Arabidopsis thaliana: one gene and its partners. The protein of the gene in region 3 interacts with the protein of the main gene of each other region in a pairwise test. Each region holds a gene or a part of one and is shown on either strand. Other genes may lie near its edges. The genes, in order: AT3G56770, AT2G42660, ATHB13 and MBD3.

Evidence for each region.
Region 1: the proteins of ATHB13 (region 3) and AT3G56770 interact in a two-hybrid assay, tested with the Arabidopsis thaliana proteins (one large-scale study listed by BioGRID).
Region 2: the proteins of ATHB13 (region 3) and AT2G42660 interact in a two-hybrid assay, tested with the Arabidopsis thaliana proteins (one large-scale study listed by BioGRID).
Region 4: the proteins of ATHB13 (region 3) and MBD3 interact in a two-hybrid assay, tested with the Arabidopsis thaliana proteins (one large-scale study listed by BioGRID).

What each region holds. Positions count from the first base shown.
Region 1 is NC_003074.8:21,026,071-21,034,715, reverse strand, and holds AT3G56770 (basic helix-loop-helix (bHLH) DNA-binding superfamily protein), read left to right. Parts: upstream 1-3,961; 5' UTR 3,962-4,097; coding exon 4,098-4,325; intron 4,326-4,390; coding exon of another isoform or gene 4,391-4,499; exon of another isoform or gene 4,500-4,588; intron 4,589-5,049; coding exon 5,050-5,514; 3' UTR 5,515-5,814; downstream 5,815-8,645. Other genes in the region: AT3G56790 (RNA splicing factor-like protein), read left to right, coding at 261-881; AT3G56780 (FBD, F-box and Leucine Rich Repeat domains containing protein), read right to left, coding at 1,440-1,742, 1,859-1,981, 2,081-3,103.
Region 2 is NC_003071.7:17,765,000-17,773,140, forward strand, and holds AT2G42660 (Homeodomain-like superfamily protein), read right to left. Parts: upstream 3,381-8,141; 5' UTR 3,260-3,380; coding exon 3,037-3,259; intron 2,952-3,036; coding exon 2,875-2,951; intron 2,795-2,874; coding exon 2,755-2,794; intron 2,678-2,754; coding exon 2,563-2,677; intron 2,470-2,562; coding exon 2,340-2,469; intron 2,249-2,339; coding exon 2,066-2,248; 3' UTR 2,051-2,065; downstream 1-2,050. Other genes in the region: AT2G42650 (Ribosomal protein L1p/L10e family), read left to right, coding at 531-1,649; AT2G42670 (2-aminoethanethiol dioxygenase, putative (DUF1637)), read right to left, coding at 7,005-7,123, 7,211-7,417, 7,500-7,653.
Region 3 is NC_003070.9:26,254,187-26,262,962, forward strand, and holds ATHB13 (Homeobox-leucine zipper protein family), read left to right. Parts: upstream 1-4,601; 5' UTR 4,602-4,979; coding exon 4,980-5,115; intron 5,116-5,196; coding exon 5,197-5,579; intron 5,580-5,913; coding exon 5,914-6,279; 3' UTR 6,280-6,595; downstream 6,596-8,776. UniProt on the Arabidopsis thaliana protein: Probable transcription factor that may act in the sucrose-signaling pathway.
Region 4 is NC_003075.7:175,179-182,275, forward strand, and holds MBD3 (methyl-CPG-binding domain 3), read left to right. Parts: upstream 1-3,843; coding exon 3,844-4,335; downstream 4,336-7,097. Other genes in the region: GPAT8 (glycerol-3-phosphate acyltransferase 8), read right to left, coding at 1-358, 861-1,173, 1,246-1,556; AT4G00420 (Double-stranded RNA-binding domain (DsRBD)-containing protein), read right to left, coding at 6,340-6,568, 6,663-6,774, 7,065-7,097. UniProt on the Arabidopsis thaliana protein: Probable transcriptional regulator.

The DNA of each region.
Region 1 (8,645 bases), on a different chromosome or scaffold from region 3:
TTGTATCATGGTTTTGTGAAATGCAAATTAGGTCCTATCAATGACTAAAAAGGTCAAAACGTGGTGTGGTGTGTATCATTAAAAAAATAGAAACCGACATAAAAGTTTCCAATTCGTGGTCGTTTAAGAAAAAGGAAAACGGCATAAAGTTTCCTATTCGTGGTTGAATTGGGATCATTCAATTGATGTGAATATAGGTAAAATACCTTTGTGTTTCTTTGTTCACGTTCGTTTCATACTTCCCCTAAATTTGTCTCATCATGGATAACAAGAAGCAGAGATATTCCAGGAGCATCCGTGACGATCGTGATGAGAGAGATAGGACTAAGCATCATCATGAGAGGTCTCACGAAGGAAGTAAGAGGAAAGATAGATCAGAGGAAGAGAATGGGGCGGCTAGGACGACAAACAAGAGTTCTAGGTTTGAAGATGTAGCTAGGTTTGAGAAAAGGCCGTATACTTGTTCTATTGCATCGGACACTACTTCTAGTCAAATCCTTGAAGCTGTTAAACGATTTCAGGAGCTGGCAATAGATACGGCTGTTGCACATAAACAGACCAAGGGCTTTTTTCTGCGTGTAGATGTACTTGGAAGAGAAATAGATGAGTATGGGCATGTGATTAATCTTAGTACATTGATGGTTAACAACAACAAACACAAGAAAGATGTTTTTCAGAATATTCTTAAACCTCCCCAACCTTTTAAATTGACAAAGAAGGAAGAGAAGAAACTGCAAACTCTAAGGCGTGTGGCAAAAGAAAAGGAGAAACAGAAGATGATTAGACAAGCGTTGTTTGAACCACAAAAATCAAAGGTGAAATTGAGCAACCTAATGAAGGTTCTTGCGTCTGAATTAGCAACCCAAGACTTCTTCTTATGAAGAGTTTCCTTCTTCTCATTTAACAGATTAACTATGAAGAGTTTGTTAAGGTCATGATGGCTAAGTGATGCTGTTTTGGAACCAAACAATGGCTCTAAACTTGGTTTGCATCTCTTACATATAAATTCTTGTGTTATGTTCTAATTTTTTTTTTGTGTGGGACTCGAGGTATGTTTTCTGGTTGTTTAAGAAACGAATGTTATATCCCTTTATGATCTATTTTGCGTCTGAATATTTTCAAAAGCCTTGTTATTTCTGTTGTCTTGCTCTTGTAATTTGTAACTTGGTCTAGTTCGTGGTTTTCTATTAAAGGTCTCTAGTGTCATTGTTTTTTTAAATGCAAATTAGGTCCTATCAATGGCAGTCAGTTTACGTTAAATTGATTTCCTAACGGGGCTCATTGAATAGCTTCAAATGATCAACGAAACAGAAGGCCAATAAAAACCTAAACACAAGAGAATGTGAAACACCTCAGTAGAAATTTTAATGAAACATTGAATTTAGTGAAGCATCAAATCATAAGATGTCCGCGAGTTTCTTCCAAATATTAGCAATCATTTAACAATTTGCTTTGTTTCTTATAATTTCATTCAAAAGAACTTCACATGACTTTGAACCTCTTGGCATCGAAGCTAAGTCCTCTTCAATCTGTTGCTTCGCTTCCACTTCACATGGATATGTCTTATAGAAGATTTTTGCCGTTTTCAAACAAAGCGCATGGTTCAGGAGATAACTCACCAGATCCTTATCTCCGTATCTCCCTGTGTACCCTTTCCACTCTAGAGCTTCAAGACTGGACAACAAACATTCGGGAACCAAACTTGGCGGTTCCCAACGACCCAACGGGGTTAGTAAGTAAACCTGCGATCACGAGAAAAAATGGTAAAACTGCTATTAATAATAAGATCATTGAGGTCGAATATTAAACACTAGTATAAATTACAATGGTAAAGGAAAAAAGGGAGAAAACTGAATACATGTTCAAGCTTGAGGACCACCAATTTAGTGAAACATAGGAGCAAATCTACAAGCATTTCCACAGATCTTTCACTACATATGCTCAGCTCCAGATGCACGATTCGACTGAAGGTACTTGCATCCTAGAAAAAAAAGAAAAAAAAAACACGATATTTCATTTATGTGATGGTTCCAACAAGATATAACACGAGAAAGAAACGACATGGAATGAAAAAAGTTACCTCTAATTTTGATGGAACTCCGAGCCTAACCCGTACAATATACCGGTAACGGCTTGCATATGCCAACTCTTGAATGCTGAAGTACTTGAAAGAAGGTGCGATAATCGCAAGCTTTCGAGTGTAGTTTTTCATCAAACTAAAAATATGCTTGGAATCTGCATCGACTCTTGTGATAATCGACAATCTTTGTAAGTAAGGCATGTCGATATCCAAATTCAACAAAACATCACTGGTTTTTTCTTCCAGTGTTAGGTCGGAGAGAACAGGGCAATTGGATAAAAGCCGACAAAAGGAATCATTGTTAAAGTCCTCCATGCGGGCAACATGGAGAGTTTTGAGGAGTGGGAGACATACCGCGGAAGAAGAAGAAATGCTTATCACATCCTTCAAGCCTTCGAGTTTCAAGGCCATAAGTGTTTTACACCAAGAAACGTCGTACTCAGCAAAAAAGAAACGAGATTCTCTTATGACCATTAGGTCAGTAATAAAATTGCAATTGGATAAAAGCATTTGAAGGGATCCAAAGTCGAATAAACTCGAGTGGTCAATGTGCAGAGTTTTTAGGGATGGGAGAGAGACCGTTGTAAGAGGAGCTTCCACATCGATCACTATACCTTTGAGTTTCAAGACAACAAGTGTTTTGCAGGTAAACAATTCAGGAGGTAATACGGTATGGACAATACAAGCATCTATCTCTAGCTCACGGAGGTGGCAATGATGATGATGAAGCGCGGTTCTAATCCATGGTCCAATGTCTTTATTCCACAGGGTCACACTTAATTCGACATGAAGGCTTTCTAGAACATGAGATTGGTGTGAGAACAGAGACTTGTCGAGAAATCGTTCAAATCTAGTGTGATCCCGAACATCGTACTTGAGTATAGGCACCCTTGTCCAAAGAGATTTCCATTTTTTTGACAAAAGACTTGTCACTACAACATGTTTAGTAGAAACGAATGACAAAATCTTCAAGATCAAATCGTCGGGCAACTCGTTGATACATGAACAAACCTTCTTTGTCATTGTCTCTGTTTAGGTCGAAAAAACATTAGACTATGTTTAAAACCCTAATTACAAATAACTTGTTTAGGTCAAAACTCTTTATTGCTTATCAAGTTTCTCCAATAACTAATAAATATAATTTCCAACTAATACTTACGAGATTTCGTGCGAGGTAGATTCTGAAGATCTGGAGTCTGGAGTCTGGAGTCTGGACGAAGAGGATTCACCGGAGTTATGAGATCTCACAAACCCTTCGACTTCCCCACAAAGAAGAAGATAACCAGTTAGTATGAACTTAAACCGATCTGATTAATGTTCTGGTTCAATTTCTTGGTTCAATCATATCCCTCGGTGTGTTTATATGGGCCAAGTAGAAAACAGAGTCTTAAAGCCAATTAATTTCCTTCTTTTCAATAGAAAAGGATAAAAAATCCATTACATAAAAATGCAAATGAGAAATATCAAAATTGTGCTTTCAATAAATCCCCTTTTAAAGAAGAAGAAACATAGAAGTTGTTGATGTGTTGTGTAGATATACTAACAAATTTTTTATTAAAGTTTGATATGATATTATTTGGTAAAAGATATATAGTAAAAAATTTCTTCTAAGTTTTTGCTTTTGTAAAATATTTCTTTTTTATGTTAAGATAACTTTGTAAACAAAAATTGGAATACCTTGCCAGTTGCCACCCTTCACTACCCAATTTTTTTTGTTATCTAGAGCTATTAAAAATGTTATGAAACATACAATTGCAATCGTTCGGTTGCGGAAAAATAATGAAACCTTTTTTCAAATTTTTTTTTTTAAAATATTTCTACAAACACCTAAGTATATATCTATGTACATACGACGACAAAAAAAAATATGTATGTACATACATCTCCTCTCACTCTAAGCTTATTTTCGTATAAATTATAGTATAGTCATATTCTTTTAGGACAGAACCCACCGAAAGAAAGCTCCAAACCCAACAAAAAGGGAGGCGGCGGAGAAGCAAACAACAGCAACAAAAAAATGCAGCCAGAGGTTTCAGATCAAATATTTTATGCCTTCCTCACCGGAGGATTATGTGCCTCGTCTACTTCCACCACCGTGACGTCGTCGTCTGACCCTTTTGCCACGGTTTATGAAGACAAAGCTCTTGCTTCTCTGAGGAACCATAAAGAGGCTGAGCGAAAGAGAAGAGCAAGAATCAATTCCCATCTCAACAAGCTCCGCAAGTTACTCTCTTGTAACTCCAAGGTACACAAATCTTTTACTTTACTATCTCACTACTCTACTCTAAACTTATAATGAAACTTAGATAGAGACTTGAACCGGAAAATTATAAAAAGCATAGAAGATAAAAATGGAAGATTAAGCATGATGAAACTATTAATTCTTTTGGGTTATTTAAGATATGAAATTAACTTCTAAAGTTACATATTCTTCAGTACTCGTCTAAACATGCATATAATTTAATTAGGAAAAGATTTATGAAATGAGGATTAAAGTTTTGATGTTATCTCACCAGAATTTTGTGTTTTTAATTAAATCTTTATATCCAAATGACAATTTTTTTGTCTTAATCAGATTAATCTTGCTTGTGTGATATACGTTACTACAGTCTAGTGTCTAGCTAAGATTTTATTTATTGGTGAGAAAGGTGGAATATTGGAAGTATATCACTTATAGAAAATGAACCATTTTAAAACTAACATCAGTCAAATGTAATGTTTTCGAATAATAAAAAAGCTGCAAGTACTGGGAATATCTAGAAAATTGAGGAGATATAAAAAGCTTACAAGCCCCTTTTTTTCTCTGAAGCTGATAATCACTTTGTCGGGAAAGTTATCGAGCTTTTTTTTTTCTCATTTGAAAACAATTGAAACATGAAGACAAAATTTCTCGAATCAAGACAAATTCTAATGATCTGACCTTTTCTCTTTCCTTGTTTCCTTTATTTGTTTTAATTTTCTTTACACAGACAGACAAATCCACACTACTAGCAAAAGTGGTTCAACGAGTCAAAGAACTAAAACAACAAACCCTAGAAATCACCGACGAAACAATACCGTCGGAGACTGACGAAATCAGTGTACTCAACATTGAGGACTGTTCCAGAGGCGACGATCGACGGATAATCTTTAAGGTATCGTTTTGCTGCGAGGACCGGCCAGAGCTCTTGAAAGATCTCATGGAGACACTCAAATCTCTTCAGATGGAAACTCTCTTTGCCGACATGACAACAGTCGGTGGTCGAACAAGAAACGTTCTCGTTGTGGCCGCTGACAAAGAGCATCACGGCGTCCAGTCGGTGAATTTTCTACAGAACGCACTCAAGTCTTTACTCGAACGGTCAAGCAAGTCGGTGATGGTGGGACATGGTGGTGGTGGTGGGGAAGAAAGGTTAAAACGACGTCGTGCGCTGGATCACATCATAATGGTCTGATCTCGATATGACTTGAGCAATTATTTAGGGTTTAACTTTATTATATAATTAATTAACGTGAGTATAATTACCACAAATCTTTTGTTTTTTTTCTCAAAAAAAAAGAAGACTTTATATGGGTTTAGTTATAAGTTTGAGTAATGGGTGTAAACATGTGTTGTAACTTGTAAGTAGGAATTTGTGTGTTCTTTTCCGATTCTTTTAGAAGAAAATACAAAAAAAGAAAAGGAAACTATAATTTTGTACAAGTTAAATCAAATTTTAGGGGTACGTAAAGTATAGGGTGATGACGAAGATTATTAGATTGTGGGAATATTTGTACAGACAGAAGAATCTAACAAAGAGATGTGATTGGGTAAAGTACTTGCAGCGAAACAAGACTTTCAAAACAGTATATGTATTTTAGAACTTAAAAGCATCATGAAATGGTGTATATAAAGTGAACGTACGATGCAGGACAGTCAAGAGAAGCTGTTTGTAGAATCTTAATGAAAGAATATATGGAGAAGTGTTAGAGTTTCAAAGCTACCTCATGTTATCTTGTCCCCTAAAGAGTTCTGCCTTTTGTTCGTATCTTTCTGAATATTTTTGTACCTTCATTTGTTTTTATGTCTTCCTTGAAGAAATTTTTAACCAATGTTATATTTACTGTATTTATCTATATATGTTTGACCACCTTTTTTCCTTCGTATGAATCGATCATATTGTATATAATATATTAAGAAAAAATCAAATTTATTTAGTATACTAGACTTCTAGGTTTTTTGGAGCACATGGAAAAAGCAAGCACAGATTCACAACAGAGTAGGTATGACGAAACTGGAGAATCTTTTCGTCAAATGTGAAAACCTATTTCTGTTAATGTAAATAAATATACTATTTGTTATTAGTAAATGTGGAGGACGGATTAGTGCTTGAGAATGAGGTAATACTTTTACCGTATTTGCGAGAAGGTGTAACACAAGAAACAGTACCACAAGACAGAATGTTTTTTAAGATTAAAAACTATTTGCAGTTTCATAAAATTTGCAAAGCTAAAATATTATGAGTACTAAATTGTATCCCTAAACATTACTATTTGATTAGAAAAAAGAGTAAACAAACAATGAAGAGGCAGGGTAAAGGCGTGAAAAAATAGAAACGAGAAAAGGATAGAATTGATGGGGCCATTCTTCGATGAGACAAAAAGCATTTCTATTTTTCTCTACTCTATAATATGGATTGTGGGGATGAATTAATTTCTTAATATATAAAGTAGACTCATTGTGATGTATGGGTGAATTTCTTAACTTATGCATGTTTGATTAATTTATTTATCTCGATACCACAGTGCCTTCACTTTCCTGTGCTGACATCGGATGATTTTGAAGTTCCTTTTTCTTTTATTTTACATTTGAATACCCTTTAAGGATTATTATTTATGATTTAATTCTTTACTCTTTCACCAAGTAAGGCACGAATTCACATTCTTCAACTAGCTATAAATGGATTTATAGCTGTTGTATTTTAAATTGATAAATTCACATCGCTCCACTGTTTGGAGAGAAAATAGAAGATGTGGTCTAAGTAAAGCTTTGATTGGTGCTGAAACATGATAAATGGTCGAGAGATGGCTAAGGTTAGTATATATGAAAAATATGAGCAATTAACTACAGACTTTTATGTTATATAATTCTTGAATTGTTGTCATTATTGACCATTTAAGGGGTTGGACATTTTAAAACTTCTCCAAACTCTGACGTGAAATGTGTAGGCTTTTGCAGTTTGGGAGACTATACTAGAGAGTATAACATATTGAGCTTGAAGAAATAAAAAAGAGTAAAGCAAAAATATAAATCGAGAAAGTATGTCTAGTAAGCGTGATGGTGTAGATGGAGTTGGTGTCTCCTCGATACTCAACCTCTCGACCAAAAAGAAAACATAAATTTAGCTTTTCACAAAAACTGAATAATTAAAGTTCCATTTTGAAAATAAGCTATAGTAACAAAGTACAATTTGAATTTGTATATTCTTCTGGAATATGGATTTACAGCAGAGCAATCACTAACAACACACTAAAATGTTGACAAAAAGGAAGAGCAATCACTCTTTAATGTGAGCAGTAGTGTTAAGACTGTTAGCTAGGTTAGCTGCGTCTTGAGTTAAATGGGTTTAGCCCAATTTGATTTAGCTCGAGTAGTATCTAATAAGAAAAAACAGATAATGTTCTACATATATTTGTATAAATGACATTAGAAATAGAAATAATTTGACCTTTACTTATGACAGTGGAAGAAAGCGACAAGTCTTCGGCTGAAGGTCCAGTAACAAGGTGAAAGACGAAACGATATCCACTAGTAAGTATTGTATTGGGCCAGGCTAAGAACTGATTCACATTCAGAAACTGAGACCCAATAACAATTGTCTAAAACAAAAACAAAAAACTGACCCAACCATAGTTCCTCTTGGAAAATTTCCACATATAGTTAGGAATTCAGTGCGTATGCAATCATCTACTTATCCAAAAAAAAAATGTAGCTTTTATAATTTAGACTCTTTACGAATCTACAGACTTATAAAGAAGTGGAGGAGATGAGGGAATCAAGGAATAAGAATTCTTTGCTTTTCCTACTTTTCTCCCATTTCATTCATTGCTTTTGGATTTGTTTGCTACCCAATGTAAGAGCATCTCCATTGGAAGTATCTCAATGAGATACCCAACCAAAAAAATAATAATTAAAAAAAAAAGTATGAAAAAAGAGAGAAAAAGTAGGAGAGAAGGAGAGTTGAGTTTCTCTTCCGAGAAACTTTGAGTAATTATTCTCATCCAATTTGGACAAGTGTCATCATACTATTAGTTCAATTATTAAATAATAATTAATGTATCTATTTTAATTAAAATATTTTTTTTTTTTTTGAGAAACTTTCCTTGTTTTTACTGGCCAACAACATTAATATTTGTGTGCTTTATTCTCCTAAGTTTCCAACTTTCCACACCAATTTTAGTTTTTCATCTATGAAATCATTATTCACGGTTTTTGTCAAAAGATTTTATATTTGATTAAATAACAATATAAGGGTACAATTAGCAGTATGCTATAATCTCCCAAAATTTTGTATCTACAAACTACCAAAAGAAAATCAAATCTTTA
Region 2 (8,141 bases), on a different chromosome or scaffold from region 3:
ATGGTAAATGACAGCCAAGTACTACATGACTCATATTTTATATAATTAATTTCATATTTTAAATTTATATCTATATCTACATTAACATGAAATAAAAAAGATTTCATGTATTGATAAAATAAGCTAGTTTGTCATAATTTCCTATATCTTAAATCTTACCAATTACCATCTTCTAAAAGTTTCTCTTACCACACAAAAAAAAAATCTTCAAAACATTTCTCCTATGCAAAACTTGAGGACAATTTATAAAACAACATAGTTAAGCCCATTAACTAATATTATGGGCCTTAAGAAACGCAAAACAAACTCGTTTAATAGAAAAGATTTCTCCGATGCAAAAACTTGAGGACAATTTATGAAAACAATATAATTAAGCCCATTAACCAATATTATGGGCCTTAAGAAACCCAAAACAAACTCGTTTAAAAGTCATCGTCCTCCGTAAACCCTGAATCTTCCTTCACAGAACCCTAAATAACTTTTCTTTTCCTCCGACCACCGCAGCTCAGCCGCAACCGCCGCCACCACTTATGTCAAGAGTAAGTCCCAAGACTGTGGACGATGCAGTTAAGGCTCTGGTCAAAGAGGGAAACGAAAAATCAAGGACGGAGAAGCCACAGCTTCTAGAAGAAGACGGATTCTTTTACCTAGTCGTAGCCCTAAAGAAGATTCCACAGAGGAATTTTACGAACGCTTATCGTATTCCTCTCCCGCATCCGCTAATTAACACTACCGAAGACTCACCGGAGCTCTGTCTCATCATCGACGACAGACCTGAAAGTGGTCTCACCGAGGAAGATGCGAAGAAGAATATCAAATCAGAGAACATACCAATCACGAAAGTTGTTAAGCTTTCGAAGCTGAAATCGGATTATGGATCATTCGAATCGAAACGGAAGCTTTGTGATTCATACGATATGTTTTTCTCAGATCGGAGAGTGATTCCTATGTTGCCAAAATTGATTGGGAAGAAGTTCTTTCAGAGCAAGAAGACTCCTGTGGCTATTGATTTGAAGCATATGAATTGGAAAGAGCAGATTGAGAAAGCTTGTGGTGCTGCTATGTTCTTCATGAGGACTGGGTCTTGTAGTGCGATCAAAGTTGCGAAATTGTCCATGGAAAGCGATGATATCGTTGAGAATGTGACGGCGACTTTGAATGGTGTTGTTGATGTTTTGCCTAGTAGGTGGAAATACATAAGATCTTTGCATTTGAAGTTATCTGAGAGTTTATCTTTGCCATTATATCAGACAGTGCCTTATTTGCAGCTCAAGATTGATCCTTTAGGTGTTGAAGAAGTTAAGAATGGTGAAGGATTAGCTAAAAGTGATGTTGATGATAGTAGTAGTAAGAGTGTGAAGACAAAGAAGAAGAATGGAAAGATTCATGAGGTTAGATATATGGATAGTAATGTATCTGAGACTCTTGGTGATGATGAATTCGATAGGAGTGTTGGAGAAGATGAGGTTGCTGATGATCTCAATGCTTCTGGAGATAAGAAGAAGAGGAAGAAGATGAGTAGTAGTAAGTCTGCAGTGAGTGGGAAACCAGACATTGTGAAGAGTAAGAATGGGCAAAAGTCGAAAAAGCTAAAGAAGGACATTGATGAGTCTGGTGGTGGATTCAAAGCTAAGACTAAGAGGAGGTGAACCAAGAAAAGAAGATTTTATATTAATGTCGTTATAACTAAGTATTCTATTCTTTCTGCTTGAGTGATTTTTTTGGATACTGATTATGACTTTGTCTTATTATGGTATCATCATCATGATTCTTATATATTTAGGACTTTTATTATCGTTTACTATTTCATCAAACTAGTGACTTGCCATGTAGTTGATTTGGTGGTTTTGACGAGGAAACATATTATTACATGTGTTTTGTTGCATTCCAGAATTGGTGTTGTATTGAATGCAGAGAAACCGCTAAGGATAAGTACTTGCAGGATCTGACTCAAGCCTGATCCAGATCCTGGCTAAGTACTCATCCCATGAAACGGCTAAGGAAAACAAAAGTCTCTACTCTTGAATCTCTTTTAAAGTTAAACTTCATCTCTCTAGTATGTTGGTTACGGTTCTGATGATGTCGACAACAGAGAGAGCGAGAGCATTGTGTTGATATCATCTGTTGGTTTTTGCCTGCAATTTCCAAACTCAGGCAACTGTATCCCACCTCCGGACATTGATTTCAATCGTTTGACTGATGATACTTCTTCATCTCGGACTCTTTTCTCATTGTTCTTCTTCCTAATCTGCATAAGATTTCACCAAGATTACAGTACCTTCCTCGGTTTTTAACAAAACTGTTCCTCTATAACTCTTAAAACGAAAGTAGGTAGTTACCTCGAGTAGAGGCAGAGTCTTGTTCTCTGTGCTGTCTCGGTCATTTCTGCATAACCCGCTAAACCAGCTCGAAGGTCGCATAAGAAAGTTACCTCCAAGATTTGTAACGACCGCGTCTTGATTGAGTACCCTACAGAAAAGAATGCAATTTTAACTTCCTTGGTCGGATCGGATATACAAATGTGAAACATTTTAGTAACTGGAACTTGTTTCTTTGTATGACCTCGAAGGAACGGTTTTAGAGTTATAGGCATGTCTTAAATCGCTATGAGGGATACATCGAGAGTCGATCATGTCCATCAAATAGCTTCTTTGTCCACTCATGAAAGCTCCAAATCCTGTTCAAAAGTCATTTCCATCAATTATGAAACCCAGTGAAGGAATGGTAAATGTCTGCGGATCAAAACTAACTTACCAGGGCGAGAAGACGGCTCGAGCTTCTTACTTCGATACATCTTGAAATCAGAAACATGAAAACATTGAAAAAGATGAACAAAACTGAGATAATCTTAGAATAACAGACGATGAAGATTACCTGTAAATGACTCTTGACATGTGCAATACTCAATCCTTTTAGATTCATCATCTCAAGAACCAATTTCGGCGTCGCTCCTTTAAAATCATACAACAATTACATTACAAAGCTGAGAGAGAGAAAGAGAGAAAGAGACGTGGAGAGAGAGAACAAGAATCCTACTGTCTGGACCGCCTAGTCGTTGGACAGCACGAACGAAGGAGAGATGAAGATCAGGCGTCCAACGAAGCCGAGGCATGTTGGACCGAATATACTGTCTAACGTTATTCGTGATTTGGTCTTCGTCTTCCACTGATGACTCTTCTTCATTGTTCTTCTCCACTGTTTCTTCTCTGTTCAGGTCAAGCCACGTGGAGCATTTTCCCGGCGAAGATCTCCCGGCCATGTCTCTCCGGCGAGAGTGTCTTTAGCTAGCTCTCGAGATCAATTACTCAAAAACAAACAAAAAAAAACCCATGAGAGAGGTTAAATCTCTATGATAATTTCGGCGTTGGCTTCAATAATACTAGCTATAATCATATATATACACTTATAAGTATATAATATAGTCTTATTTGTCGTAAACTATAGTATATAATTATATAGATATATAAAATTCTTATCTATGTCATGCATGTTTACGTATAATTGTATGTTTTTTTTTAATGGAAAAGTGTGTTGGAATCTTCCGTTTGGTGAAATCACATTAGTTATTAGGTTTTGCTTCATTTTTGTTAACATACCAGAAAAATATCCGTTTGTTCTTTTAGTGACAATGACATGTAAACTTATCTCCTTTACTTCTTAAAAATAATATCTTTCTTTAAACAAGATTTAAATATGGTGAATTTGAATATGAATTCAGATTCCAAAAACTATACCATTTCTTAAAACATCTTCTGTTTACCTAACGTGCCTTTGATATATATCATGTGACAATGGCTAGGCTATTTAAATTGGTTAATTAATCATATATTTGATATCAAGCATATTGGTTCAAATAGTCCAGTCTATATGTATACACAATTGGCAGTCGAATATTTTGTGTCATTAGAATTGTTGTTTTGTGAATGATGTATCAAACATTTCAATCCGACCAAACCACTCTTGTTTTTCTAACAATTTTCTCTTTAATAATTTCCAATTAAGTTGACCTTTGCCGGAGACTACGCTTTACCCTTTTGTCATATTAAACCACGTTTTTGAGTGTCTCCAAAACAACTTAAAAAAATAAAAATCAGATTAGCATTGGGGAACTCAAACGGAACATGAGAACTATCGATCTAAGCCGATTGATTCGAACCCTGATAGACAAAAGGTACAAACTATTGTCTACCTCTCAACCGATTACTATGTGGTGGAATGAATTACGTTTCTACGCATTTGGTTTTATCATGATGGCTATTGATCTATATTCATGTTTCTCATATACTTAGGTTAAATACATGACGGTCTTCAATCCCAACGTTTGAAAACAGAATTTAAATAAAAACTTAAGAGAGAAGGGAGTTTTGTCAAATGGTTAAGGATGTGATTCCCAAAGATTCTTGAGTTCACGTATGTACAAAACAGAAGTTGTCTTTATCTTTTTGGTTTTATTATTGGTGACCCTTTTCAATGGGCATTGGGTTACACACCTCCATATATTAGTATTTGGTTTCTCTTCGAGAATTGGCTAACTATATGTTTTTGTAGGGCTTACCAACTTACCAATCAGTATATAATTCGAGAGAGGTAACTAATAAATAATTACGGGTATATTATCTTTGAATGCAATTTTTTAATTGTTCAAATTAGGCAAAGCAACTTTCTTTCTAGAGTGCAATCTTTGTCTTTATTGTCATCTTGTGAGTTGAATTAGTATTTGTAAACATAGATAAGCTGTCGTTAATCATAAATTCTCAAAATAAGTTTCAAATCAAGAAAAATAAGTACAAACACTTTTTACAAAATTGAACCAAGTTTTATGTGAAATTAATAAGGACCTCAAACCCTACACCAAATTAATTATAAATCGTCCCGATGCAAATTTCCGACACTCTATGTCTATGCACACACATATCTATACAAGCATTTTGGAACATATATGAAAACGCGATGGGATCAAATTTCAACGCTCGTATTCATATAAACACAGCTTGAATGTTATAGAATTTCTATGAAGTCTTTTACCATGATCGCCCTCGATCTTCAAATCTAGGGTTATGGACAGATAGAGAGAGAAAGAAAGATAGGAGATGAGAGAGAAGAGAAGATAGGACAAACATTCGAAGTAATTAACTAAGATTGAAGAGAGCATTGATGGGAGAGAAGGAATCGTAGAGGCTCATGTGGGCACTAAGAAAGATGAGGAAACTTTGTTTTGTCCTAACCTGTTTACGTACCGACACTTCATTCACAATTCCTCCATTTCCCATGCTCTCTTTTTATGGAATATATAATTTCAAATTGTTTCAATAGTTCTTGAATTTCTTTAAACGACATGAATTTCTTTGGTTAAGAGAATCTTTTGTCGAGTTCTACTTCTTCCAAGAAAATTCTTTTATATTTTACCATTTCAGAGGATTTTTTTTTTTGTGAATGTTTACTAGATACGTTTTATATGTACAAACCATTTATTTTTTGACAAAAAATATAACAACTGTTTCCCTAAAGGACGTTTTATATGCACAAAACCATTTTTAAATGTAAAAAGGACGTTGATCCAGTTGATATATTTATTTATTATGCATGCAAGAAGCTAAAAAATTCTGCATGTTGCCCTAAAGAATCGCCGCAAAATGAGGCACCGTCTTTGAATTCTTCCTCATCACATGCCTACGTATCTTTAGGACCATGATTATTAGCTTCGATCTTCTTTTCTCAAAAGTTTTATTTATACACTCATAAGAAAAATGCATTATAATGAAGAGTAACAATTAACAAATTAATAACGTAACATAGTAATGGTTTCTCTTGATCTTTTCTAAGTTGTTTCCATGCTTACTTTTGTTCGTGGTTGCGTACTTGCGTTCAAAGCGGTTGGGATCAAAGGGTATCACACCTCAATCAGCATGTTAAAAATTTCCACGATTATATAAACTTTACTCATGAAGGAACGGGCTCATCTATTTCAATTTTCAACCATGATTACCCCGAAATGCTTTCTTTATTCTCTTTATAATCCTGGTCTTTGGGTCTAGGTCTAGGTCTAGGTTGGGACCATATCAATGTTCGTTGTTAAACATTTTGTTTTTTTTATAACCAAAGAATCTGGACCAAAATCTAGACTATTCTCATTTGCCCTGTAGATTACAAATCGGATATTCTTACCATTTAAGACGTCTAGTATTGAAATCGCAATGCAAATTTTTTGGATCCTAGTCCCTAAGCCCATGCTTCAACTACATATAAACCACTATGATTCTATGAATTAGTTTGGTTGTTCAACTTCATCATCATAAATAATTGATAATTCTGATTTTCTTCATGAAAACCGAAATGGATAAAGTGGAGAGCTAATTTATCCATTGACCAAAAAATAAAACGAGAGGAATGAAATTCCATTGAAATCCACTAAGCAAATAGAGTGTATCCACTAATTTTATGATAATATCCACTAAGTCCTTACGTAATAAAGACTCAGCCAGCCGCTTGGTAGAGGGAGATGGGATTTAGTCTTACGTAGTAGCCAGAATGTGATTTTGTTTTTTGTTCAGTTTTGCTTTGTTAGACTTAGAAAAAGCCAACGACGCCATTTCATTCCCTTATTTTTTAAAAACAGTAAGATCACACATCCCATGAACTTTACTCCGATTTCCAAATCAATCCCAACTTAGTTACCAACTGCACAACCTACAAATTGGGCGTATCGGGGCAACTTCTATGCTGGTGTGACCTTACCATATGAAGGAAGAAACACAACTATGCAAAACGAGGTTTAAGGATTTTGTAAACACAACCATTAGAGAAGTCTAGTACCGAAGACTAAAAACCATTAGAAGTCTTTTGCAATATAATGAAACGGAGACACACGGTGTATCACAAATTAGTATGTACAATCCCGTTTGCAATATAAAAAGACCCCCCAAATTATTTCCGAAAGGAATATAAATAAAAAATAAAAACCCGAAGCCGCCCAAATTATGTGACAAGTAAAGATTAGATCATCATCAAGTTCTAATGACAGGACCTCTGTACGGAATTCGTCGTATCACAAAGTCATCAGGCGGTTGAAATTCCTCAAGCCATGTCACGTCTGTGACCACTTCTCCATCCACTTCTAATTCACCTGCTCCAGTTCACAATCCAAATCAATATCACTAAAGGTTCTAATATGGTTCTGGGATCGGGTTTTTGGAGAGCTTAGTTGTATTACCTGGTAAGTCTTCTCTTCTGGATTTCCGGAAGTAAGTGCAATGCCGATCATGCTCTGAAGAGTAAGGTGGAGCTAAGATGTCAAGAATAGCACAATGGGTGATGGCTTTGAAACAGTGAATGTTGCCACCACTTTTCGGATATAATGTTGTTACTGGGCTTTGAGCCGTCATCTCAGTATCCTTCACCAGTTTAGCAGGTCTTGCTTCTTATGAATCAAAATAGTTTACAATTAGACCAGAAGAGTGATTGGATAAAAACTGAGAGAGTAACAGAAAGAAGACGGTTACCTTGTGATGGATCCTCTGGTTCGGTCAGTTGAGGCTCTAGCCAATCATATGACTTCACATGCATTGAACCATAAACGAGCTTGCTTAGCACGGTCATGCCCGGATGGTTATGAAGAGGTATCATAGAAGAAGGTGGCATACAGAAGATTCCTATCTGTTTTGACAACAGAGGCAAAATGAACCAAGTGAGAGATAACATTGGTGGCAGTATCAGGAAGATAAAACACCCAACTAGAGACAGACTCAGAATTGACTCGAACTGTGTTTACTCATACTTTCTAGACCATTTGTCATAGGCTTTTTTGCAGACTTCAGGCTCATGGCTTGAATAGTTGGTTCCTGAGATTCTCTCAAGGACCATGTTTGGATGCCCCCCTATTCCCCTAATTTTGAATATGCGGAAAAGGAGAAGATTAAATATCCACTAAAATTTTTGTCTCAGGATTGGCTATAGAGTGTTTTAACCTTGAACGGTATTTGCATATTATTCCAAGCAGAACCATTGCTACTTAAACCTAGGAAGTTAAAATGGGACTCTTATGCTATTTTGTATCTGAATCATCCTAAAGTGGATCACAAAAGATTCACCCAAACCTTAAACAGCATTCAAGACCAATCAGCCATAGAGTTTTCAAATCAGTA
Region 3 (8,776 bases):
AGGTCAATTTTGTATATATTTCCAGAAATAAACATATCAGAAAGAAAAAAAGTTACATTTCTAAATGACTCGCATTAAAGATGATGTTACACAAATGTTATTAGACATTATTTATTTTCCATATTTGTATATGATTTGTAACTATGTGTTTTGGATTTGAATAAATTCCCACAATCTTAGTGATCATATCAAATTTGTAGATCTTTCCAGATATAAACATATTGAATTATTCAAACACAATCGTATCCTATCTCCATGATTCTTTTATTTAATCCTACCAACATCAAGACTAGTAGTAAATTAGTTACTCGGTTACTCCACAAACGGCGTGGCGCGTAAGATAAAACTTTAGTGTGTAACGATGGAAATCTTTATGGAATTACACATTCCTATCAAAATTTTTTTTGTGTGGATAAAACTCCTATACACTTGGAACGACTAAACAACAAACCGAACGTGTGATCGTAATCTTGTTCATAATAAAAAAAAAAAAAACGTGCAAACGTGAAATGGTAACATGAAGGAGAACATGATACTCTTATTAGCTCCTTTATTCCAGGAAATCGAGCAGTGACATTATTTGCAAATAACTGAAATTTAAAGAAGAAAATACGTTAATCTCATCACTATTAGACCTGAAAATTACTCTAACTAGTAACTACTAATTACAATAACTTTTATATATATCCAACAAGGCAACAATATAAGTTTATATATGGACGTGTGTATAATTGTGTCCTTAAATATATTAGATTGAAGGCATATTAATGACGAGTGAATGAAAGAGAAGTGTACAAGAATAGAATAATATGGATGTCGAAATGAGAAGTAGCCTTTGTCGTGATGGCTGAAATTAGCCCAACTTTTGGGCCTTATTTCTTGTCATGGGTCCACTATGTCTTCTTTGCTGTATTTACATGTTTGTGTTTTGCAACATATGAACACCACCCTTTTCTCCAAAACTAGGAAAACATATATCAATTAATGTATTTCAAGTATTGACGTAAATTTTCTTTTTAAAATAATGAATACGAATGACATAATCATAGAGGATTTATGCAAGTGTTTGTATTAGTAGTGTCTCTGTATCACCATCTTGATCTAAAACATGTAGAATGCATATAGGCCTGAATAAAAAACAATAAACATGCATCACACACGCACACGTATATATATATTTATGTCTAAGTTTTTCATATATAAAGTATTTTACACTATGCAGCTAGTTCGCTAGGACTAGGAGTGGTGTGACACGAGAGGAGGGACATATTGTGACTTCTTGAAAACTACGTTGTTGGACTTTCCTGACTTTCATGTTGAGGTTTTGGGCGAGACATTTCCATTTGGATAAACAGTAATCGAAACATATGCTTTTATAGTGTCTGAAATAGATACGTCAAAGTTGGGTGATCATACCGAAAAAAAAAAACGACTATACAAGTTTTCCAAATTCGCTAGCAACTTGTAAGACTAGCCTTTAAATTCACATATCTAATCATACGCTATATTTCACTTCTTGATGATAAGAGTGCACATATATCGCGTCTAGTCAATCTTGTGAAGAATGGATCATAACAGTAAACAATATGAAGTATGGATAAAATCATACAACGTCGCTCAATCACCGCAAGTGATCTTTAGATTGATTGACCGTGCGATCTGTACCACACCGAATGTAATATAATGTATGAAATTTTTTTTTGTTAAGTTCTTCGAATGGATTAAAATGTATCTAGATGTTTACATCTTTTATGTTTTGCCAATAAATATAATATATACTTGAGTACTAAAAATAATTAGTTGAAATTAACAATTTTTACTCGTCTTCTAAAAACCAGATTGTTTATAACTTCTTTAATTTCTCTTTCCTTACCAAAAAAAAAAATAACTTTTTGGGTCATTCACATTCCATACAAAATAAAAATTAAATCATACTCATTCAATAAATATTCGGGTATTTGTGAAGCTATATGTATGCATGGATAAGTAAAAGTACTTTGATACAAAAGTTTTGATTGCAGAACGGCACGATGTGATGCGTGAAATGTCAGTTAGAGACGGATAAGTAGTCTCAAAGTAATGAATAGTAGTCTAATCGAAAGTGAAAATGAACGTTAAAATGTTAATAATTATGTGGTTGATGATGTTAGAGTAAACATCATCGATGAATACGGCACAAGGGATGTTGGGAAGAGAAATTAAGAAAATAATAAAATAAAATAAAAAGAAAGATTGATTATGGAAAGGAATGGAAGAGGAAAGGAGGGAGAGACAAGATAGAACAGCTCTTATGTGGGGTTAATCAAATAGTAGTTTTGTTTGGTTTTTTCCTTAACCTAAGTACCCCACGCACCATCTTTATACGTCTGTCTATGCATGCATATACACACGCACATATGCATTCATGTGTACATAAGCTATCTAACATATAACAGGTCTGTTATATATATGAACTTTAAATAAATGGAAAACAACAAAAGGGTTTTAAGAAATTGCATCATTAGATTTTATATTTGTAACTCTCTAATATAATGCATTTGGAATTTTTTGCATCACTTCCATTTGATATGATACCAATCAATCGGCCAACATAGCACGAGAAACCCTTCTCTCTTAGCGAGAATTTTACTTTTGTGATACTTATTGATTATTCCTATTATTGTTATTTTGCTAATTGTATAACTTTTTTGTAATTGGTCAATCAATATTACTCTACATATATACATATAGCATTACCAGTAGTCAATTGATTTCTTGTTTCGTTTTGGTATCTGTCTTGCGGTTGATAGGTTAGGTCAAAGCTAATAGGTTTGATGAGATCAGATTTGATGTACCATGATTCTCATAGACATGATCTAGAATTTCAAATACATGTTACAAGATTGTTGATCATGGACATACGTATAATCCATGCTTTTGTATATATTGTAAGTCTATTTACAGTTTCAATATAATTTTTTCGTTTAAACGCTATTTTGAGATGGTGATTGCTTTTCCATTCTATTTCAGACCAAATTTCAATTATGTTTGGACCGATCATACTTTTTAGACTTATTGAACTTTAATTTCATACAAAAATGATGAATTCTAAATAAAAACGAAGTAACAATACATATAGAGAAATTCTACACTACTATATTTTGTTAGTTTAATTTCTACTTTTTCACCTTTTTAGCGATAGACTTTAGCAGTTACCTATAAAGATTAACTATATACGTTCCATATTCTGAACTAAAAGATTAAACTAAGGTTCTGAATGAAGACCGTATTAGATAAGGTGGGTGGTGTAAGACGGACACCTAAAATAATATATTTTCTTATGAACTCTGATGTTATTCTGACTGCCTTGATCTTTCCAATTCACCCGCAATCGTTTTTATTTGAAGAATGAAAACGAACAAATTTAAAGTAACTATATATCCGACTAAAAAAAAAATCACAGTTATACTATGGTTTACAAGTGCAGCTATTATCTTCTTCTTTTGTTAAATATTTCAATCTTCCTTTTTCACATCAAAATAATCAAAACTAGCATCATAGAACATCTGAAAATCAATAATATCACTTCTCTCTTCTTCCCACAAAAAATAAAATAAAATTATGTACAATCCCTAGATCCACAGGTCTAGGTCAATCCATGTAGACACAATACGATTATTTGATGGGTCTATATATAGTCCATACGTACTAGCGTGATTAAATAGGATCAACATTGGACCCATTCACTATCCAGCTTCGTCCCTACCCCAATATCACTACATCATTATATATATGAAATTAATTTACATCAATAGAAGTATGAAAGGCGTTAGTTAGCTACTTATTACATATGTTCTCAGCCTATGCAAATGATTTAGCGAAAAATAAATTGTAAATTAAGTTCTTTAGAAATAAATTTAGATGATAAAAAGAGAGAGAGAGACACAACTTTGATAGTTATGATTTAAGATGAGAATTGGACTTACAAAAAAAAGGACAAATCTAATAAAAGAAAAAGTTATTAGATAAAATTTAAAGGACAAGTATGATGAGTGAGAGAGAACACCTCTCTGCATGTCTCTCCCAAGGGGAAAAAGAAGAGTCCTTTCTCTTCTTACCATTTTGATTATCATCTCTTCATTTTCCACTTTGTACGCAAGCTAAACCCCCTTGTAATTTGCTTCCTTTTTTCATTTTCAACAATATTTAGGATTATGCCAATTTGATATGAGTAATAACACAACGAAAACACTAAGATTACATGTTTTGGTCAATTCTACGATTTTTAATCTGCAATTACATTTATTTATTTTTTAACCCCATTTTTTTTGTTCTATCTCCAACTAAAAGTAGATATTACACCTCAATATCATATTCAAAGTTCAAACTGTGTCTTTTGTTGTGGTCTGATGCAAATTTTATTTATAGATGAATCTCAGCGCACCACACAATAATCCACTATCCTAAAGACTAAAGAGTAAGTATATACCAGGGTAAATTAAATTGGATCCCACTTTTACTTGGAAGCCAACAATGGTTAAAAAAATATCTATCTATAAACGATTGTCGAAAATGAAGATAAAATTGGAGTTAATAATTATATATACTTTGGCTTAACGTAAATGAAGTTTAAGCTTGTATTTGATCGTGTTATTTTTATTTTTTTTAACGAGAGAATCAATTGAGTGCGTCTCTTTCTCTTCTCAGCTCATATGTCCTCTCTCTCTCTCTCTCAGCCTTTCTATATAAAACGAAATAAAGAAGAAATTAAATACCAGAAGTGGTATAGTCTAGGCCGATACATTTCACTATCTCTCTCTCTTTTGTTTTTCCTCTTCTTCTTTTTTTCCATTTGATTTCAAACTCTCACACAAAGAGCTTCAGATTTATAAGACCATGATAATGGCTTTAAGACAAAGATTGGCAAGAAGAAAAAACTAAAGAGAAACGACCAAAATCTCAAGCAAACAGTACTAACTTCTGTTGCAAAACAGAAGAAGATGTCTTGTAATAATGGAATGTCTTTTTTCCCTTCAAATTTCATGATCCAAACCTCTTACGAAGATGATCATCCTCATCAATCTCCATCTCTTGCTCCTCTTCTTCCTTCTTGCTCTCTACCTCAAGATCTCCATGGTATATATACATAAACTTCCACACACATCTCCTCTGTTTTCTCTCTATCTCTTTCTAATGCTCTGTTCTGTTCTGTTTCAGGATTTGCTTCGTTTCTAGGTAAGAGATCTCCAATGGAAGGGTGTTGTGATTTAGAAACAGGGAACAATATGAATGGAGAAGAGGATTATTCAGATGATGGGTCACAAATGGGAGAGAAGAAGAGGAGATTGAACATGGAACAAGTGAAGACACTAGAGAAGAACTTTGAGCTTGGAAACAAACTTGAACCAGAGAGGAAAATGCAGCTAGCTCGTGCCTTAGGTTTGCAACCAAGACAGATCGCGATTTGGTTTCAAAATCGAAGAGCTCGTTGGAAAACAAAGCAGCTAGAGAAAGATTATGATACTCTTAAACGACAGTTTGATACACTTAAAGCTGAAAATGATCTTCTTCAAACTCATAATCAGAAACTCCAAGCTGAGGTAATTAATCTCATAAATTAACAAAAAAAATCAATATGTGTTATTTTTTTTTGGGTTAATGATCAATAATTACAGTTATTTTCCATCTAAAGGATGATTTTTTTCTTTTTAAAAAAGGTTAAAAATTATATTTCTGGTTTATAATTATTTGGATCAGGAGTTGCTTTCAGGTAGGGTTAAAAAACTGGACATGATTCATGACTTTTCAGACATCATTATCTCTTTTTTTCTTCACTCTTGTCTGGAAAGAGATCTGAAAACAATAGTTTCTTTATGCTTATCACATTGTACAGTAACTCTGTTTATGTTTAAAATTTTGTCTTTAATTACGCAGATAATGGGATTAAAAAACAGAGAACAAACAGAATCAATAAATCTAAACAAAGAAACTGAAGGATCTTGCAGTAACAGAAGTGATAACAGTTCAGATAATCTCAGACTAGATATCTCAACTGCGCCGCCATCAAACGACAGTACATTAACCGGTGGCCACCCACCGCCACCACAGACAGTTGGTCGACACTTCTTCCCACCGTCGCCAGCCACCGCAACGACAACTACTACAACAATGCAGTTCTTTCAAAACTCATCTTCAGGACAGAGTATGGTTAAAGAAGAGAATAGTATCAGTAACATGTTCTGTGCAATGGATGACCATTCTGGTTTTTGGCCATGGCTTGATCAGCAACAGTACAATTGAAATTGGTCTACCTGTTTTTTTTGTTTTTGTTTTTAAAAAAATTTATATTTTTTTTTTTTGTATTTGGAATTTTGATCAGAAGAACCCATGCATGTTTTCAAAAACTGGAATCTATATCATTAGCTCACTTTGAAATCTGCAACCAAACACCACTGAGGTTTTTTGTTTACTTTTTGAGTAAATGAGATGTAAAAAAATGGGTAATATCCATTATATTATATAAAAAATAATATCATTATGGCCCAACATTTTTCTGTATGGAGAAAAATAAAATAAATTGTATATTATATAGTTTAGTCGTGGGTACTGGCACCATGTGGTCGTAGTCGTCATATTCAGAAGTGGGAAGAAATAAATGGAATAGCACAAATGAAAAGGACATTTTCCATGAAACAAATCATTATTTTTGTTTAAATCCATGAAATAAATTCTGCATATGTCATGATTTGGTCGAGCGGGTTAAAAGGACCAAAGAAAAATGATGGGACAAAATCTAAACGAGTGAAATTTGTAATCACGAGACCTTACAAAAGACGTACGATATTTAAATCTGACGATGCCGCAGACCATCAATTTCATAACCCTTCTCTTATTCTACAGTTACATTATTCATTTCACCGTGTGTGTCTTTTTTTTTTTTTTAAGAAAAAAAAATCTAACATCACTATCAGCAAATTATAGTTTGTTTTTATATTAAAAAAGACAGCAAATTAGAGTTTGGTTTGATGAAAACCTTTGTTGTCCGGTTTGATGACAATGCCATTCGTTCTCGCGCAGAAATATTGATGAGGTATCAAGTAACATATCATGCATTAAAATAATGTGTCACCGTGTAAAATAGTACTCATCTATCAATGACATATATTAAATGCATAGTCCCATTAGAAGTCTTGGTTCATCAACACAAAAATATTTTAAGAAATCAGATATCCTCAATTTCTTTAAGATAATATGGGATTTTAAGTAGAAGAGATTATAGATTTGATGAGAGTAAAAGAAGCAGCAAGAGACATTAGACGCACACAGATTCCAAGGGAGATAGAGGAAGAGGACAAAGAGAGTTGGAAGAAAGCAAGCAAACAATTTGGGGTTGGAAAGTTGTCACTCTCCTTTTTAATCGACTCTTCTCCTTTTTAACTCCTTTTCATCTTCCACATTCAAATGGCCGACACTTTTAAACTTTTGGAAATTTCTTAAAGAATTCGATGTTTCCTTTTGGTGATAAATTTGAAATCTCACTTACAATCTATGTTTATTAAAAAAAATATTGAACCAATCATTAGAAAAAATCAATTAAAATTTTAAAAGATGCTAGCGACAAAAGAATGCGACAAAATCTATAAATAAAAGTTGCTTAATACCCAAAGATGTGGAGAAACTAAGGCCAATGTTGGCTTCAACGATGTTGAACCAAAAAAATTGATCGCCATATATAAAAGCGGTTGTAGGCTAGAACACCGTTGATTTTTTCTTCTAAAGAACTAGTGGTGAATTGCCAACTTTTTAAAACCAGAGAACTGAAGTGTCGCCAGTTATAGAATCCTAAATTAGATTAAAATCAAAGGATATTTTAACTTTCATTAGATTTGAAAAATCAAAACAGTTAACATGTTCAAACCCCCATGTTGAAAATTATTGGTGTTAACCCAAAGGTCCATAAGAAAATATCTCGATACTCGGTGTTAACTAAAAAAAATACTGCAAATGATACTATGTAGCTCTAGTTCAACACGATCTCTCTAGTCTCTAAATGACTATAAGAATTCAAAACAAAACATATCAAACGAAATGCGTTGGTGCGACCCACTAGAATCACCCACTTCTTTCCTAAAGTACAATTTTCTTTTTAGCTAACCGTGTTTGGTTTGCTTTGCTTTTTTGGTTAATGGACCCTTTGTAAACTTGGATGCTTCAACTACACTTATATGCTCACTCTTATCACTTCCACGTAATATACTTATAAATTGTACAACTAGGAAATGACTTCTTGTGTGCATGTGTCTGTATGATAAAATCCTATATCATAGAATTGTACATGTGGTAAAACATTCCTTACGTTTGCTATCTAGTTATAAATGTTATTGGGTACGTATATTTTTGAACTTTTGTAGTTAAAAGCTTGTTGCCTGATTATTTCTTTTGGGATAGAATATGTCATAAGATTTCTATCCGTGCCGGTAAAAAACAAAAAAAAATCTATTAGTGGCGGACCCCAAAATTCGTTAAATACAACATAACTATTAATCCCTTTACTTTAAAATATAAGATGTTTAAGATAAAAATACAAATATTTAGATAGTTTTTTTAAAAAAAAAATATGATTTGTATTTAATAAAAACAAATCTAACCAATCATAAAAAATATTACAGCATATAAATAGTTAAAAATAATAAAAATATATTTAAATTTGTATAGAACCTTGCAAAACATCTTATAATATGAAACAAAATAAAAATGTCTCTTACATTTTGAAATAGAGAGAGTATTAATTAAAAAA
Region 4 (7,097 bases), on a different chromosome or scaffold from region 3:
AGATCTTACGTCCAAGAGCAATAGCAACGATGATGGGATCAAGCGCGGTACGGTGGTTAAGGACATAGAGGTTGCCAAGAGTTCCAGGGGAAGGAGGTGGAGGACGATGACCACGAATGGTTAAGTGGATCCCGAGCATCTCGTAAGTGTAACGGACAAATCTTTCAGGTAAAGGGAGGTTGAAGTAGACGCGAATGATGGAGAGGATGAAACCAAAAGGAAGCCATAGGTATGTGATAATGGCGTTTAACGGAGTTGGACGTTGCGCTAAACGCCCATCATGGAAGACTATGCGGTTCTTTAAGCGTTCTTTTGGAATCGTTGTGGCTGACTTGGTCGCATGAACCATGTAACCTTTCTGTTATAATACCAAAAACGTTATTCATTTCAAACTTATAACTAAAAGTACTAGGAAAATGTAACATATCTCTAAATTGTGTAATCAAGATTCAAAAAACTAAGCATTAAACAACAGAAGATTGTTTATGATATTTCAAGTATGTGTTCATTAAATGGACAGCCCAAAATGTTGGTGGAACTAGTAAGGTGGTTGGGGATAGAAAAATAATCCAGAGGGTCACGTGAAGTGATTGGTTGGATACATTTATGAACCTTACTAATTGCTTCCAAATCAAAAATTTCATTATTTTTATAAGATTCACGCGTAGACATAATGACACTAAACCAGTCAACAAGTTAAATTAGATTATCTAGCTTAATCAACAAGCAAATCAAACGTTTGCTTAGATTCTCAAGTTACCTCCAAAACACATCTTACACTAAACCAATCAACACTCAATAATTCAACTTAACTTTACCCTATAATCGACCAAGATTGGATAAAAAGATTGGAACAGTACCTTGCAGAGAGACATGAAATCATGATCAGAGGTTCGATCACCGAGGCCGAGATCAGGTGATTCGTTACCAAACTCTTTTAAAATGGCTAACCTCTTAAGATCACCAACAAGAACACCAGGCTTCTTCACAAATCCAGTGGCTCTATTGGTTTTAGGGTTAACTTCAATCTCTGTTCCCAAAACTTTATCACCTCCAAGATAATCCTTCACAAACGCCTCCACCATCACAATCGGATTCGCCGTCACTACCACTTTTCTCTTACACTTATCAAACACCTCAAAACTGTCTTTCCTCACATCCGCCGCGTAAAACCTAAACAAAGTTCATCAGAAAAAAACTAAAGTGATCTACTAACAAGAAAACACTCTATGTTAGATCTCGTACCGTGGAAGAACTGCGCGAGAGACAAGTTCGATATCGCGGATTTTGAGACCAGCGAATGAGATGAAGATGAGGATCTGGATACCAAGAGATTCGGATACGAATAGGTAAGAGATAATGACGAATGGTAACGAGAGAAGGAGGATTAGTCCACGTAAAAGGCTTCCAGCTTCAACAGCGACGAGCATGAAGTAAGGGAAGGAGCTTCTTGAGAGAAGCAGAGTCCCGTCAAGATCGGCGGCTATCGAATCGTACTCTCCGTCTCTGCATTCCGTTATTGGAGGGAAGTTTTGACTCTTCTTCTCCGGAGACATTTTCACTCGCTGTGTGTGTGTCTCTCTCTCTCACTCTCGTTAATGGCAGTTCTAAAGAACAGAGAGCAAAAATAAGAAGACAAGAGAGGGAACGTTATGTTTTAAATGCACCTATATTGAAGACCGTAATATTAATTCAGTGGGTTATATCTATAATCTATATCTATGTGAATGAATATGATATATATATATATATATGTATATGTCATTAACTATGAAATATCCACTAAGAGCGTAAAGTGTAGGGCCACATGTCGAATTCATTATATGAAAATGATTATATGCATCTATACATGTGGTGATATTGTTGACACAGTCGAATTGTCTATAATCTTTTTAGAGACTTTGTCTTAGATTTGGGTTTAATTATTTAGTTGAAGTGAAGTTGTTAGAAAAGTTTTAGATTTAATGTAGCTTAGATATCAACTATATATTGGTTTAGTTACTAAACCAATATATAGTTGATATTAGATTTTAATTGCATTACTGTTGGGAATAATTTAAATCTTGGAGATGATATTGAATAAACTCTGTTAAATTTCTTAACCCATCAAAATAGGGAAAATAATAAAGGATATTCTAGAAAGCTTTATGAAAGATCAGTGTTAGCCAAAACCGACAAGAACCGGACCAATACGGGCCGTAACCTCATTCTAGAAACGATCTTATCATTTCAATAGAGGCGGTGGCTCGAGTCAAAATCCCACGTGGATTAGGGTCAAGAAGACCTCTCTATAAAATGTAGGACTAATTCGACACAAAGGAAGGAACAAAATCGAGGACAAAACCGCAAAACACACGACTTAATTTTAAAACACGACTATAATTTATAGATTAACTTGTTATGCCTTGATTTTTGTATTTTGCAATCGATATTTTGACCAATAAAAAAATTATATTCGATTATTTTTATATTTTTTTTTGTAGAATGTCACAAATTGATTACTTTTGTCAAAATAATTAGTTAGTGTAAAAATATATATGACCACAACAACAACAAAAATTCTTCGTTGTGCAAGTTAGGTTGATCTTGTTCTCACTACTTGAGCAGTTGAGCTTAATTTGTTTATTTGACCGTTGGGAGTTGCACCGCTTTGAGCCGCACATTTATGCTCATTAAACATATTTATAAAAAAAACGCATGAAAGTGTTTGACCAGAGACAAAGTGTATTAGAAATTCACTAGGCTTACACAAAAAGGCATGTTGAGCTGTATTAGAAGACCCTTAACAGGCCTCCATACTAGTCTTGAAGATGGGCCGAAATTCACTAGGCTTAAAGATGCGCCGATATTCACTAGTCTTAAAGATGGCACCACAGATGGCTCCGAGACATTGCATAATCATGTAGAACACTGCTCTGGTCAGAGACAATTTCCGAGCCAAGAACAGACCAAATGTTACGAAGAATGGATTATATAATACAGTACAGTATATGGTTTTGCCTTCTTATATATGTCCACATCATTTAAAATCTTAAACCAAAATTGAATAATTTAAATAACTCATAAAACTTTTATATGTATGCTTGTCTTACATTCAAAATGCGCATTATCACTAGTTTAATATTTCTATAACTGATCAGTTTTTAATTGGTTGACACCAAATGAAGTGGTCACTGACGCTATAGGATTCTATTGGGCTGCATATTAAAGTTTTTTTAAGAATTGGAACTTTTAATATTATCTAGGGTTGAAGGAACTAAAACGCCTGTCCTACTGATGTAAGGCTAGCCCTAACCTACATGTATCTCAAGCGTCCAAATTTACGTTAATACAATTTTCAAAGCATTGTTTTTCCTCTCCTTGGAGAAAGTACATGCAAAATCAAAATTAATGGCTCCGACTTTTCGAATCACCGCAAGCTACTATCTCTTCGAGTTCTGGTTATAATAGTACTTGATTAGATACTTCTTATAAGGCTTAAAAGCCAACTTAAATGCTATTGCAGTAAAGATTTCATTCCTTCTTCACTTCACTTTACGAATCTAAAGGATATATTTAGTTCTTCTTCACTTCAACTAAAAGGCTAAACTCCCAAAAAAATATTTTTATCTCTCTCAAAACTTGAAATATGGTGAGGAAGACTACTCAAGCTACATCTCACAAGGTATCGACAATATTTTATTTTTATTATTGCATGAAGATTTGTTTTGTCAATGCATGAAGATCCCAAAACTTGAAATATGGTGTTTTATTTTTATCATTACATGAAGATTCGTTTTTTATCATTGCATCTCACAAGGTATCGACAATGTTTTATTTTTATCTTAGTCTTTGTTTGGTTTTATGTGTGTAGTGAAAACCACGTTAATTGACTCATACGCTGCACAATGTTGGAAGTGTCTTAAAGTGAGATCTATAGAGTCACAAGAAGATTATGAAGAGATTCGTAGTAAAACACTGGAAAAGTTTTTTGAATGCAAGAGATGTGAAGAACCTGGAGATATGGTAATGAACTTTGATTCCCTTACTATGCGTTGGTTTCAGGATGAACATAGTATACCCAAAACCCCTCAAGGTTTGAAGAGAGTTTTGGTCGTGAGAACAAACTGCGTGAAAGTCGATGTTTACTATGAATCATTGGCTCCTAGACGAAAGAGGTTTAAATCTATAAAGGAAGTTGCAACGTTTATTGAAGACAAGGAAGAATTTAAAGACATGACGCTTGAAGAGGTTTCTTTTGCCGCACCCAAACGGCTGAAACTAAAAAAGAAACCTGTCGATAGTCATTCTAGCTCAAGGAACACTGAGGAAGATGGTGTCTCGAGAGATGCTTAGTTTTGTCTGCTATCACTTATCAGGATCATTCATCGCTTCTCTTTATCTCTTCTCTTTTGAACTTTTGGTTTTTGTCTTTGATTTCTTTTGGTTTTTGTCGTTGAACATTTGATGCTTTATGTTTTCCCAGTTTAAGCAATTTATTTCCTCTTTTATCATATCTTTTATCATGTACTTGAGTAATCTGCCTAGTAATCTCCTTCTCTCTGAACAAACTGCTACCTAAATTACTAGCAGCAAACTTTGAATCATACACGCTTCTTAGAATTCAAAGCTTCTGAAAGTCCATCTTTGAACAACTCAACCTTTGATTTATCTTTGCACTTCTGATATTTTGACAGTCTTAGACCATTCTGGTAGCTTTCCTTGTAGCTATCTCACACTAACTGATACAGTGACGTTCTTGAGGCCCTTTTAACACAATGATTTAATCAACCTTGAGATCTTTGCAAATCATAGCTTTTGATCATTCTCTGAAATTCCTTCTCTTTGAAGCAACAATATCGAAGGTCTCTTTCTCCTTGTGATAGCAACAGATTCATAAATACTTCAATATGCGAATCCTTCTCTTTAAGAACGAGCTATGAGAAGACTGATTCTTCACCACTAACTTGTGTTTTACGTTTCTTCAACAAACTTAATTACAGGTTCTTTCATATTAATAACTCTTCATGATAAACCAAGTTCTGAAGATGCCAACGTAGAGATCAGTCTCAGACTCCATTACTCAAATGCCTTGTAGTTTCAAGCCAATGCTGACATTCATGTCTCTTTGCCTTTCATGTCACTAAAAACTCTTCGTTCCATAAGACTCTGTATCAACTGTTCTGAAGGGTCATCAGTAAGCTATGTTCCCGGACTCCAAATTGAGTGTCCTTATACCAGAATCTTGTCTCACATGTCTAGAATATCTCTGACAAAATTCATCCCATTCAGAACTCATTTGGTCATCCGTGTGATGTTTCCACCGAAACTGGTCAAAACTGAAACTTCAGATGAATTGTGCCCGGATCAGGTTGAAGAATCTCAAATAACACACAAACCAACCGTCAAAATCTCAATCCCACCGTTGAAAATCAAGACAGAAAAGCTTGCCACAAAGTTTCGGCTCGATCAGATTACATTTCACCAACCAAACGTTTCCTTGAATTAGACATTTCAGAACTGGTTCATATCTCCTCTTTCTTCTCTTCTCCCCCATGGTTGCACTTTGTTAATCTCTTTCATCACACAACATTCTTTATGTGACCAACAAGATCATCTTTTCCTTAAAAATGTGCTCTCCAAGCTAGCCTTTAAGATTCTATTTTACAGTTTCTTGTCTTAAGGCAACTAAAATTCTGCCTGTGAGACAATCTCTAAGAGATCTATAATCTACATAACCTTAATCTTGTTATTTGCACCGGAATCTCAGACTTAAAGTTTCTCAGAAGAAATAAGATGATGATGTTTATCGCCCTTGCTAGAATCACCGGAGTAACCAAAGCACCACATAGCATATGAAAAATTCCCAACTGTTTAGCTATGTGGTAAGATGAAAATTTTCGATGTGGTATAAAGGCAGCTTAGGTTAAGACAGCTTCGAGGCACTAGTAGTAGATTTTTATGTGTTATAAAGGCAGACTCATTACAAATTTTGTTTACTCAGAATAGATATCAAACTTATGAAACCTATCAAAATGCTAATTTTCATTGAAGATGGCATGAGCCAAACGAAGGTTGGCAATAGCTAAGGTCAAACCAACAAAAGTTTGCGACTTGCGTATATAGTTATATCAAAGGAAAGTTGACGCGAGATATAGTCAAAGTATCAAAATAGACATTTGCATAGATAGACAAAAAATAACGCAGGTTAAAGGTACACATGAAAATAGTCTCATAAAAGATGAGTATTTTGTGACCTTTTGAGCATCCTAGGTAGAGCTTATATCAAAAGCTAATCCTTAAGGCCGATAAACATAAACAAAAGTAATCACCTTAACAGATTCTAACTGGCAAAGATCATTACACGGGTTCACCTGTTACCATCATCTTCGATATCGGTTTACTCCGTCCTTTACGACCAGAAGCTTTCTCTGTTTGAAGGGTATAACCCACATTCTTAAGATACCAAAGTGCTGCTTCTGCTGCCTGCTCAGCTGCGATTTTCTTCTTGTACTGTGGATTCCCAAAACACTCCAAAACCGTTATCCGAGAATCCTCCTTCATTTCAACCGTAACTTTGCCTGTAAATCTGAACAAAACAAAAGAAAAACATGAATGATGCTGACACTAAAGATTTCTAACCTTTAAAATGTGAAAAGAGTGCAGAAATTATGTGCTCTTACATTTTCATATGGCAAGGACCCTCGGCGATATACTCATACAGTGGTGCTTTCCAATGCCTCACACTACATAAATTATACAACTGTGATTTGGCTGAAGATCTCTGAGTTTCTTCTAAACAACATGCATGTGAACAACAGAACAAAATGTCAAATTGTCGATAAATGAAAACTAACCCCAAAAAAATGAGACATAATTGACAAGTTTTAAGCTTTTGATTTTTAAGGAATCCAAAAGCTCTTCAAGAAAGCAAACACAGGTACACAATACTAACATTCTTATTCCATAACCATAGCTTTCATCTTTAAAACCCTTATAACCAATAACATTAACAAAACCTTAGCTAAATACAACTGATAACACCAAAATTAAGTAAACAGTGTGGGGAGAAAAAGAGTAAGTACCTTCAGTAGTGGGCTCAGTTGTGTGAGGCCTCA